2 linked regions of the Rattus norvegicus genome follow. The protein of the gene in region 2 purifies or fractionates together with the protein of the main gene of each other region. This does not show direct contact. Links are inferred from orthologs where the notes say so. Each region holds a gene or a part of one and is shown on either strand. Other genes may lie near its edges.

Evidence for each region.
Region 1: the proteins of Zcchc10 (region 2) and Neurl4 purify together in Homo sapiens (co-immunoprecipitation; 3 studies listed by BioGRID and IntAct, with this or other methods). This does not show direct contact. The link is inferred for Rattus norvegicus from reciprocal best matches to the Homo sapiens genes ZCCHC10 and NEURL4.

The regions. Positions count from the first base shown.
Region 1 is NC_086028.1:55,122,641-55,127,145, reverse strand, and holds the start of Neurl4 (neuralized-like protein 4), read right to left. Parts: upstream 2,823-4,505; 5' UTR 2,787-2,822; coding exon 2,499-2,786; intron 1,682-2,498; coding exon 1,237-1,681; intron 1,034-1,236; coding exon 968-1,033; intron 824-967; coding exon 525-823; intron 358-524; coding exon 246-357; intron 157-245; coding exon 68-156; intron 1-67. Other genes in the region: Ppp1r2l1 (protein phosphatase inhibitor 2-like), read left to right, coding at 3,954-4,399. UniProt on the Homo sapiens protein: Promotes CCP110 ubiquitination and proteasome-dependent degradation. By counteracting accumulation of CP110, maintains normal centriolar homeostasis and preventing formation of ectopic microtubular organizing centers.
Region 2 is NC_086028.1:37,977,932-37,981,736, forward strand, and holds part of Zcchc10 (zinc finger CCHC domain-containing protein 10), read left to right. Parts: intron 1-1,337; coding exon 1,338-1,382; intron 1,383-3,002; coding exon 3,003-3,279; 3' UTR 3,280-3,805.

The sequences.
Region 1 (4,505 bases), about 17 Mb from region 2:
TTTACAGGAGCACTGCTGGCACCCTGGCTTCCCTGGATTGGCCCAAGCTCCTATGCTCCACACTCACCTGCAGCTCATCCAGACTGAACTCACAGTACTCGCGGCGCGTACCCTTGCCGTTGGTCAGGATCCCACAGCCACTCATCATGATGGTGCCTGGTAAAGATGAGTACCCAGTTAGGGAAAGGCCGTCCCGACCTTATCAACTCAAAGCTTCTGTCCCTACCCTACCACATAGCCGGTACCTGACTGCAGGTTGGTCATGGTGGCTGGATACTCCAAGCTGTTGGGATTGTGGGTGGTGACACCAATCTCGATGGAACCAGACCATTTGTCTACAAGCTTGTCAATACGGATCTGGGGTTGGGTGAGAGCAGACAGGACCAGGAAATATAACAACAGAAGACGGATGCTCAAACCCTTAGTTCTTCACCAGTCAGTCATTTTGCCATCAAGGATCATCCCCAACATTTAGCTCCAAATCTTTGGCAGGAAGCTCGGCCAGACTCCAGGACTTTATATACCTCAAACATTTCATTATCCCGAAGTGGACGGTTGGTCATGACAACTCCATTGTTGAATTCATCCAGGGGCCTCCGACGCTCAGCCGTCTTATTATTGTTGCTGAGTTTGATGAGGGTTCCACACTTCTCATGAAAGAGCAGGGCATCATTGGAAGTGAGGATGGGAGAGGTGGCTGACCCACTGGATGCCAGTCCGTCTGCAGCTGGTGGGGAGCTCAGGCTCACATTAAGAAGGCCCCCATTGTAGGCAGACAGGATGGCGTTGCTCACCACCTCAGACAGTTCCATGCTGGCAAAGTCTACAGCAGCAAGAAGAAGAAGTCAAGATGAAGCTCTGTCCCCCAAACTAGCTTGGAACCATCTTCTCCCTACCGGCCTCTTAAATCCCACCCTTGTCCACCTCACTACCCATCCCCTTCCCTGGGCTTCCCCGAAGCCCTCACCATTATGCGAATCAAGGCTGTTAGGAAACGTCTCCGGCCGGGCCTGCGCTGGGGACACCATGAAGGCTAGGGACCAGGTAGATGGGAGGGGAATAAGGGTTCAGCCCATGTTTCAGGGCCCAGTCAGGAGACCATCTCTTCTAACCCTCTATATTTGCCTGCAGTAGGCTCTGGGCTCAACGTCCCCTCCCCTCCCCCAGCTGACTTGTGGCTGCTTTTGCCCCATTTCTTCAGTCAAACCTCATGCTTCCCCGAAGCTGTGTTCTCACCTTCATCCACAGAAGTCCCCTGTTCCGACAGGGCAGAATCTTCTGGAGGGGCCAAGGGCTCAAGGGGAGGTGTGGAGATAGGAGTAGAAGGGCTGAAGCCTGGCTCAGGGGGCAGCACAGTGATCTGGGTGCACTTGCCATAAAGGTCCACGACAGCCCAGACTCGAGCAGGCAGGCCTGTGGCTGCCACACCACAATCCCGCCCATTCACCCAGAGCCGGAGCTCCCCAGTGGCTGTGCGTTCCACACCCACACGGTCCCCTTCCACAAGCTGGTCCAGGTCCTGGCCATATTCCTCCAACACAGAGCGCCCGTCCCGAAGCACTGAGCAGCCTGACACTACCCAGGACCCTCCCTTCAGCCCAGTGGCACTGCTTGGGAAGTCCAGCACACTAGGATCCAGTGCTGTCACTCCGATTTCGATGGAGCCACTCCAGGAGTTGACCTATGAGAGGGGGGTGGACAGAGTGTCAGGATGGAATCCCATCACCAGAAGCCACATTCCAGGGCACTGCACCCCTCTCACCCTGACCTCTGAGGTCATTGACATAGACACACAAATAACTTTTTGGACATAGCCTCCATAACTATCCAGACCCACCGGCTCTCAGCATCTGTGTGCTGTTCTGCTGCCAAGTGTTTCACCACATCACCCTTTACCCACTGCAAGCTGGTTAAATGCCCTGGTTTTAACCTGACTTCCTCTCATTCCCCAGTCCGTGTGTCTCCTCTACCACTCCAATCACATGCTTCTTAGGTTCATATAGATCGCTCTCCTACCTTACTCTCATTCCCACCCCTGATCCTCTAACACCCAGATTCATTCTCTTCTCTTTCCAAATTCGTTTTGGAGTCAAGCAAGTCACACACAATTTCTTTTTTCCCATGTCTCCATCTATCTTTCTGGCTTTGGGCGTCGTTTGTTTGTCAACAGTTTGTGATTTTTACTATTTCTCTACTCGCCCATTACATCTTGGGCACCTGTCTATCTTTCATCCCTAAGTGATTGTGCTAGAACTGTTCACTAGCCATCCTAATAACTGAGCCCTGTATCCCTGTCCTGCTTCTGGGTCCTGAGGAAACTCATTCTCCTTCAGAATGAATGTCTCTGCTCCACGCTCTTTTCCTTTCTCTTCTAGGGCTTGCCATCGGTACCTGGAGACTTGGTTGGAGATGCAGACTTTCTGGTAGTTCTACCTCTTCTCCCTTTCGTCCACTCCCACCGCCCTCCACACCTCGTTTCCGCGGCCCCAGCTTTGCACCTTGCGGTCGATGCGGACAGTGAAGACGCGTCCGTCGCGCAAGGGTTCTCGGCTCAGCACCAGCCCGTGGTTAAACTCTTGGCCCGGCTGCTGCCGCCGCGCTGTGCGCCCACAGGCCGACAGGCTTACCAAGCGCCCAGTGCGCGGGTGCAGTTCCCCGCCACTGCCGAGACCCCCGCTGGACCCCAGTCCTGGTCCGCTGCTGCCAGGGCCCCCTCCCCCGCCTGGCCCCGGCCCTGGCCCGGGGCCTGCCCCAGAGCCCCCACTCCCACCCGACCCCGCCGCCATCGCCGCTGATACCGCGGCCGCGCGACAGCCGCGCTTGGCGGCACCGTGGCAACCGCGGCGGATAGACGCCCTGGGGGAATACGGCCGGGGGCTGGGGCCTGATATGCTTTACGGCACTGAAGCATCCAGAGCTAAGGAACCAAGGTCTATCACGAGGGGAACCGAAGGACGACGGGGTCGGGGAGACTTGCTTTACGGCACAGCGGGACGACAGCGGCTAAGAGAATCTAGAAGACTGGGGCTGCTTTTGCGACAGTGAATGGAAGAAACGCCCGCCGCAGGCGTATTTGCGACGAAGGCGTGCTGGCGCCCAGATACACTTTACGACTTCGCCCCGCGCCGAGGACCCAACCCTTGTTGGGAAAAGCGACCCATTAAAACATTAGCTTTAACACAAAGGGTGGTAGCTCCCCCTCACACTACACGCTTTAAGGCGACGTAAACACTATCTTCGGGACAGAGAAAAGGTAGTTTTATAAATCCAAGTCTCAGCCCTTCACAATACCGAGACCGGAAATGTCGCAATCCAATCCAACCTCTCCTTGTTCCAATCCTACTCCTCTCGTCGCAGTCCCCCTGCTCCACACACTTTTCATCACACCTCTCCTATGAAGTATAATGAGGTGACTGGTGGGGGAACCCGCACGTAGTTCAAGACCAATTTGAGCTCCGAGTCAATGAAACTCTTGAATCTTAAAATTACTAATAAAAATCCTAGAGATGTCCCGATAGGTAATCTCAAGGCACAGAACTGAGAGATCCAGGAGATTACCTGAGAGCTATAAGCAGAACCCAACCCTACTCAGAGGCTCTCGCTGGTGTTGTGGGGCTGTGACGTCACAAGGCTCCTCGCCTCTGGCCAGGCCCCTTGACTGTGATTGGTTGATTCGGAGAAGGGCAGTGATGGGGAAGGGCGGGAACAAATTACAGAGACAAAGAAAGTCTTTGGGTGTAACAATTAGAGAAGGGTGTGCGGAGGAGCCCCCAGGCTCAGGTCTATATAGTCCGGCTTTCACCTGCACCAGCGCCAGGGAGAGGAGGCGAGGAGGTCCGGTCTGACCCGGAGCCCCCAGCGCCCACCGCCCACCGCGGTGGGGGCAGGGCCAACGGGAGGGGCTATGTGTAGAAGGCGAGGCTGAGTAATTGAAGTGATTACCAAGTTGAGCTATGGAGAAGCCGGAGTCTCTGGCACCTGTTAGTGGTCTCAGTACGGAATCCCCTGGCGGGGTTCCTAGGGCAGTACCTGGAGGTGTCAGAGGTATACAAACAGACACCGGACTACCCTCCGGAGTAGGCTCGTTTCGCGGTCCTGGCTCCCTCCTGCATTCCGGGAACTCTGTCCGCAGTCCTGGTCCAACCCAGCCCTCTGAAGGAGCAGTGACCCTCAATTCGGGACCCGGTCCGTATCTCCGGGAGGTTGCAAGCCTTGGGTCCAGCACATCCCCTGCCACTGGAACTGGTGCAACTAAGGCATCCACCCCTGGGCCGGAGGAGCCTAAAGTGTACAGCTCGGAGAGTAGTACACACTCCGGGTCATCTTTCACGGAACGGCCTCGGAGCATCCTAAAAAACAGCAGCTCCATTTTGATAAAGAAACCCTCCAATTCAGAAAAGTAAGCAACTCAGCTTTTAGCCAGCACCCCTGAGGAGGGAGGGCGGGAGGGAGGGAGGGAGGGAAGGGGGGAGGGAGGGAGGGAGGAGTTCAGGACATCTTGAGCG
Region 2 (3,805 bases):
TCTCACAAAACAAGGCAATGGGGGCTGGAGAGGTGGCTCAGCAGGTAAGAGCACCAGCTGCTCTTCCAGAGGTCCTGAGTTCAATTCCCAGCAACCACATGGTGGCTCACAACCATCTGTAATGAGATCTGATGCCCTCTTCTGGTGTGTCTGAAGACAGCTACAGTGTACTTATATATAATAAATGGGGTTGGGGATTTAGCTCAGTGGTAGAGCACTTGCCTAGCAAGCACAAGGACCTGGGTTCGGTCCCCAGCTCCGAAAGAAAAAAGAAAACCAAAAAAAAAAAAAAAAAAAGAATAAATATTAAAAGTAAAAATAAAAAACCCAAGGCACTGCCTGCTCTCGGCTAATAGAATCGCCTTCTGTGTACGGCAGAAGTAGGAGTATACACAGCACTGCAGACTTTGAACTAAAATTCTCTCATGAGATTGGCTAGAGTGAAACAACATGTCTGCAGGCCTGTGGTGGTTCTGTGTGGTGAATGTGTCTGTGACAGGATCAACCTATTTTCCTAATCAAGAAGCAGAAACTCGTTTTGAAAACCTTTAAGGTACAAGGTAGAACGTGGGCTGAGATATGGCTCCGTTTGCAGAGTGCTTGCCCAGCATGCACAGGGTTCTGAGTTCCATCCAGCGCCATCCATCAGGGAATAGGTGAGTTCAGGCCTAGCCTGGGCTACATGAGACCTTGTCTCAAAGAAGAAAAAGAAAACAGTGAAATTGTATGAGGTGCAGAGTGCTTGCACAGCATGTGCCTGCCCTGGACTTGAACCCGCACCATGTGTTGTGGTGACAGGAGCAGTTCTGTAATCTGAAAGCTGGATCCGTGTACATGCCGATGGCAGAGATGCAGCTCATGCTCGGATGCTCTTTGTGGTGTCAGGGAGCAGCCTCACATTATTGAGATTCCATGTTTTTGTTTTTGTTTTAAACAACAACTAAAATTTTGGAAACTGTACAGAAATTAAATTTGCTTTTGTGAAATTTTCAAATGGCCACATGTGATTCTAGGAAGCTGGATTATGGCTGCTGTGCTGTTGGTGCCCTTGCTTGGTCAACAAGTAAAGTTCTAAACCAAAGAAGAAACAACTCTGTGTTCTGTCGTCTAAACTACTAACAGGCCTTGATGGTACAGGAGATAAAATGTGTTGTTGAAGGAAGCACGAAGTCCACTGTGGATAGCCTGTCCCGGGAAGGAGGAAACTTTTTACTTGATTAGAGCAAGAAATCTGTGCCTTGAGCATATGCAATGAAGAACAGAACTAGCCTGAGGGTAGCAGAGAAGTTTGTGGTCACTCTTATTAATAGGAGCTTTTGTTTCCCTTTGTCCCTTAGCATGGGAGAGACCAACACGGAAAGAAAGACCAAGAAGAAGAGGAGGTAGGTAGCTTTAGGTGACACTACCTGGGGGAGGAAGGTTGGCCTGAAGTCTTTGTCTGCAATTCTTTTTTTTTTTTTTTTAAGATTTATTTATTTTGGGCTGGAGAGATGGCTCAGTGGTTAAGAGCACTGACTGCTCTTCCAGAGGTCCTGAGTTCAATCTCCAACAACCACATGGTGGCCCACAACCATCTGTAATGAGATCTGATGCCCTCTTCTGGTGTCTCTGAAGACAATAACAGTGTAATCACATAAATGAAATAAATCTTTAAAAAAAAATAAGATTTATTTATTTTATATATGCGAGAACATTGCCACTGTCTTCAGACACACCAGAAAGAGGGCATCGGATCCCATTACAGATACTTGTGTGAGCCACCATGTGGTTGCTGGGAATCGACCTCTGGACGAGCAGTCAATGCTCTTAACTGCTGAGCTATCTCTCCAGTCCCTGTTTGCAATTCTTGGTTGTGATTGTATTTTCTAATCTTTTCCTGTTACGTGGAATTTACTGGCTCCATTTTTCCTTTTCCTATAACATTCTAAAATCCTTACACCTGACAATAATACTGCTGCCTGGTCTTGACCTAATAAATCTTACAAGATTTTGCTAAAGGGAACTGGAAAAATGACCCAGTTGGTAAAGTGTTTGCCATGCACATAAGCCAATAGATAGGTGCAGCAGCAGGGGTTGGTGCAGCCGCGGCGCTGGGGAGGTAGTGATGGGTGGGTCCCAGTGAATCACTGAGCACCCTGCCCAGCTGAGTCAGGGAGCTCCAGGTTCCATGACAGTGACTCTAAAGTGTAGAGCAATCGAGGAGAACTCAGAGATCTGCCTGGCATGTTTGGGTTCTTTTATTGTTCGGTTTTGCTTTTGTTTTGTTTTTTTAGAGAGAGAGAGAGAGTGTGTGTGTGTGTGTGTGTGTGTGTGTGTGTGTGTGTGTGTGTGTAGGGGTGCCTCTAGATCCCAGAAGTGGACATTGGATTCCTTATAGCTGAAATTTCTGGTATTTTTGAGCTGCCAGGTATGGGTGCTGAGGTCCAAATTCCATGACAGGCCTCTGACAGAATAGTAAGGCCTCTGAGTGCTGAGCCTTCCCTTTGGCCCTTGTTTTATTTTCTGGACACTAGATCTCACTTTGTAGCCCAGGCAGGCCTCAAACTCATGGTGACCCTCATACTTAAGCTTCTTGAGTGCTAGGGTTACAGCCACCATGCCCTGCTTGTGTTTCTTGTGTGTGTGTGTGTGTCTGTGTGTCTGTGTGTCTGTGTGTCTGTGTCTGTGTGTCTGTGTGTGTGTGTGTGTTGGTTGGTTGGTTGGGGGGGGTGACGGGGGTGTGTGTGTGTGTGACAGACTTGCCTTGACCTTACTGTGTTGCTGTGGGTGACCTTGAACTTCTGACCTTCTTGCCTTACCTCCTGGGATGGAAGGCTTGTGCCAGCATGCTCAGTGTATGGGGGGCACACCTTATGGACTCCTAGAGAGCTTGCAAAGTGTTTCAGCAGTTAGGCGATCCCCAGACATCTGGCTAGGGCTAGCTGCAGGAGCTCAGCACGAGCGTTTCTAAGCACTGAGTTAAATGTCCATTTCCCATGTGTGCTCTTTGTGTAACATTATAGGCCTAAGAGTGTCACGAGTACCTCTAGCAGTGACAGTTCAGCCAGTGAGTCTTCATCAGAGAGCGAGACATCTGCCTCGTCCTCTTCAGAGGACAGCGACGCAGATGGAAGCCTCTCCAGCTCCTCCTCCTCCTCAGCCTATTCCTCCTCCTCGTCCTCCTCCTCCTCCTCGTCCTCCTCGTCCTCAGACTCAGACTCCAGCTCCTCCAGCAGCAGCAGCAGCAGTTCCGAGAGCAGCTCTGACGACGAGCCACCAAAGAAGAGGAAAAAGAAATAGAGCTCTCTCTTCTCTGGACCAATGGACAGAAAGCATTTGTGACTCCCAGGGGAACTGAAGACGTGCTCAAGCAAGCAAGTTAGCTGGTCAGACTTGTTAAAGTCCAGAACTTTCTAAGTATTCACCATTGTGTAGGATATTAAATAAAGATGTTATATATATAAAGATGTTTATTTTAGGAATGACTATTGGGTTTTTGCTGTTGCTTTTCTTTTTGTAAAGACTGGGTCTCATTTTGTAGGCGTGGCTGGCCTTGAACTTGATCTGTAGCGCAGGCTGGCCTCGATTTCAGAGAGATCTACCTGTCTGCTTCTCTAGTGTTGGGACTACAGATACGCCACCATGCTCAGCTTTTGTTAACATTTTTTTTAAATAATTTTTGAACTCTATCTGTAGTACATAATCAAAGCTGAAAACCAGGAAATCTATTTCAGTGATGGACAAAAGTCATTTTTCTCCCGCCTATGAAATGAATGCTTCATGTGGTATATGTTAAGGTGTGTATGGGTCGGTCTTTGATGATACT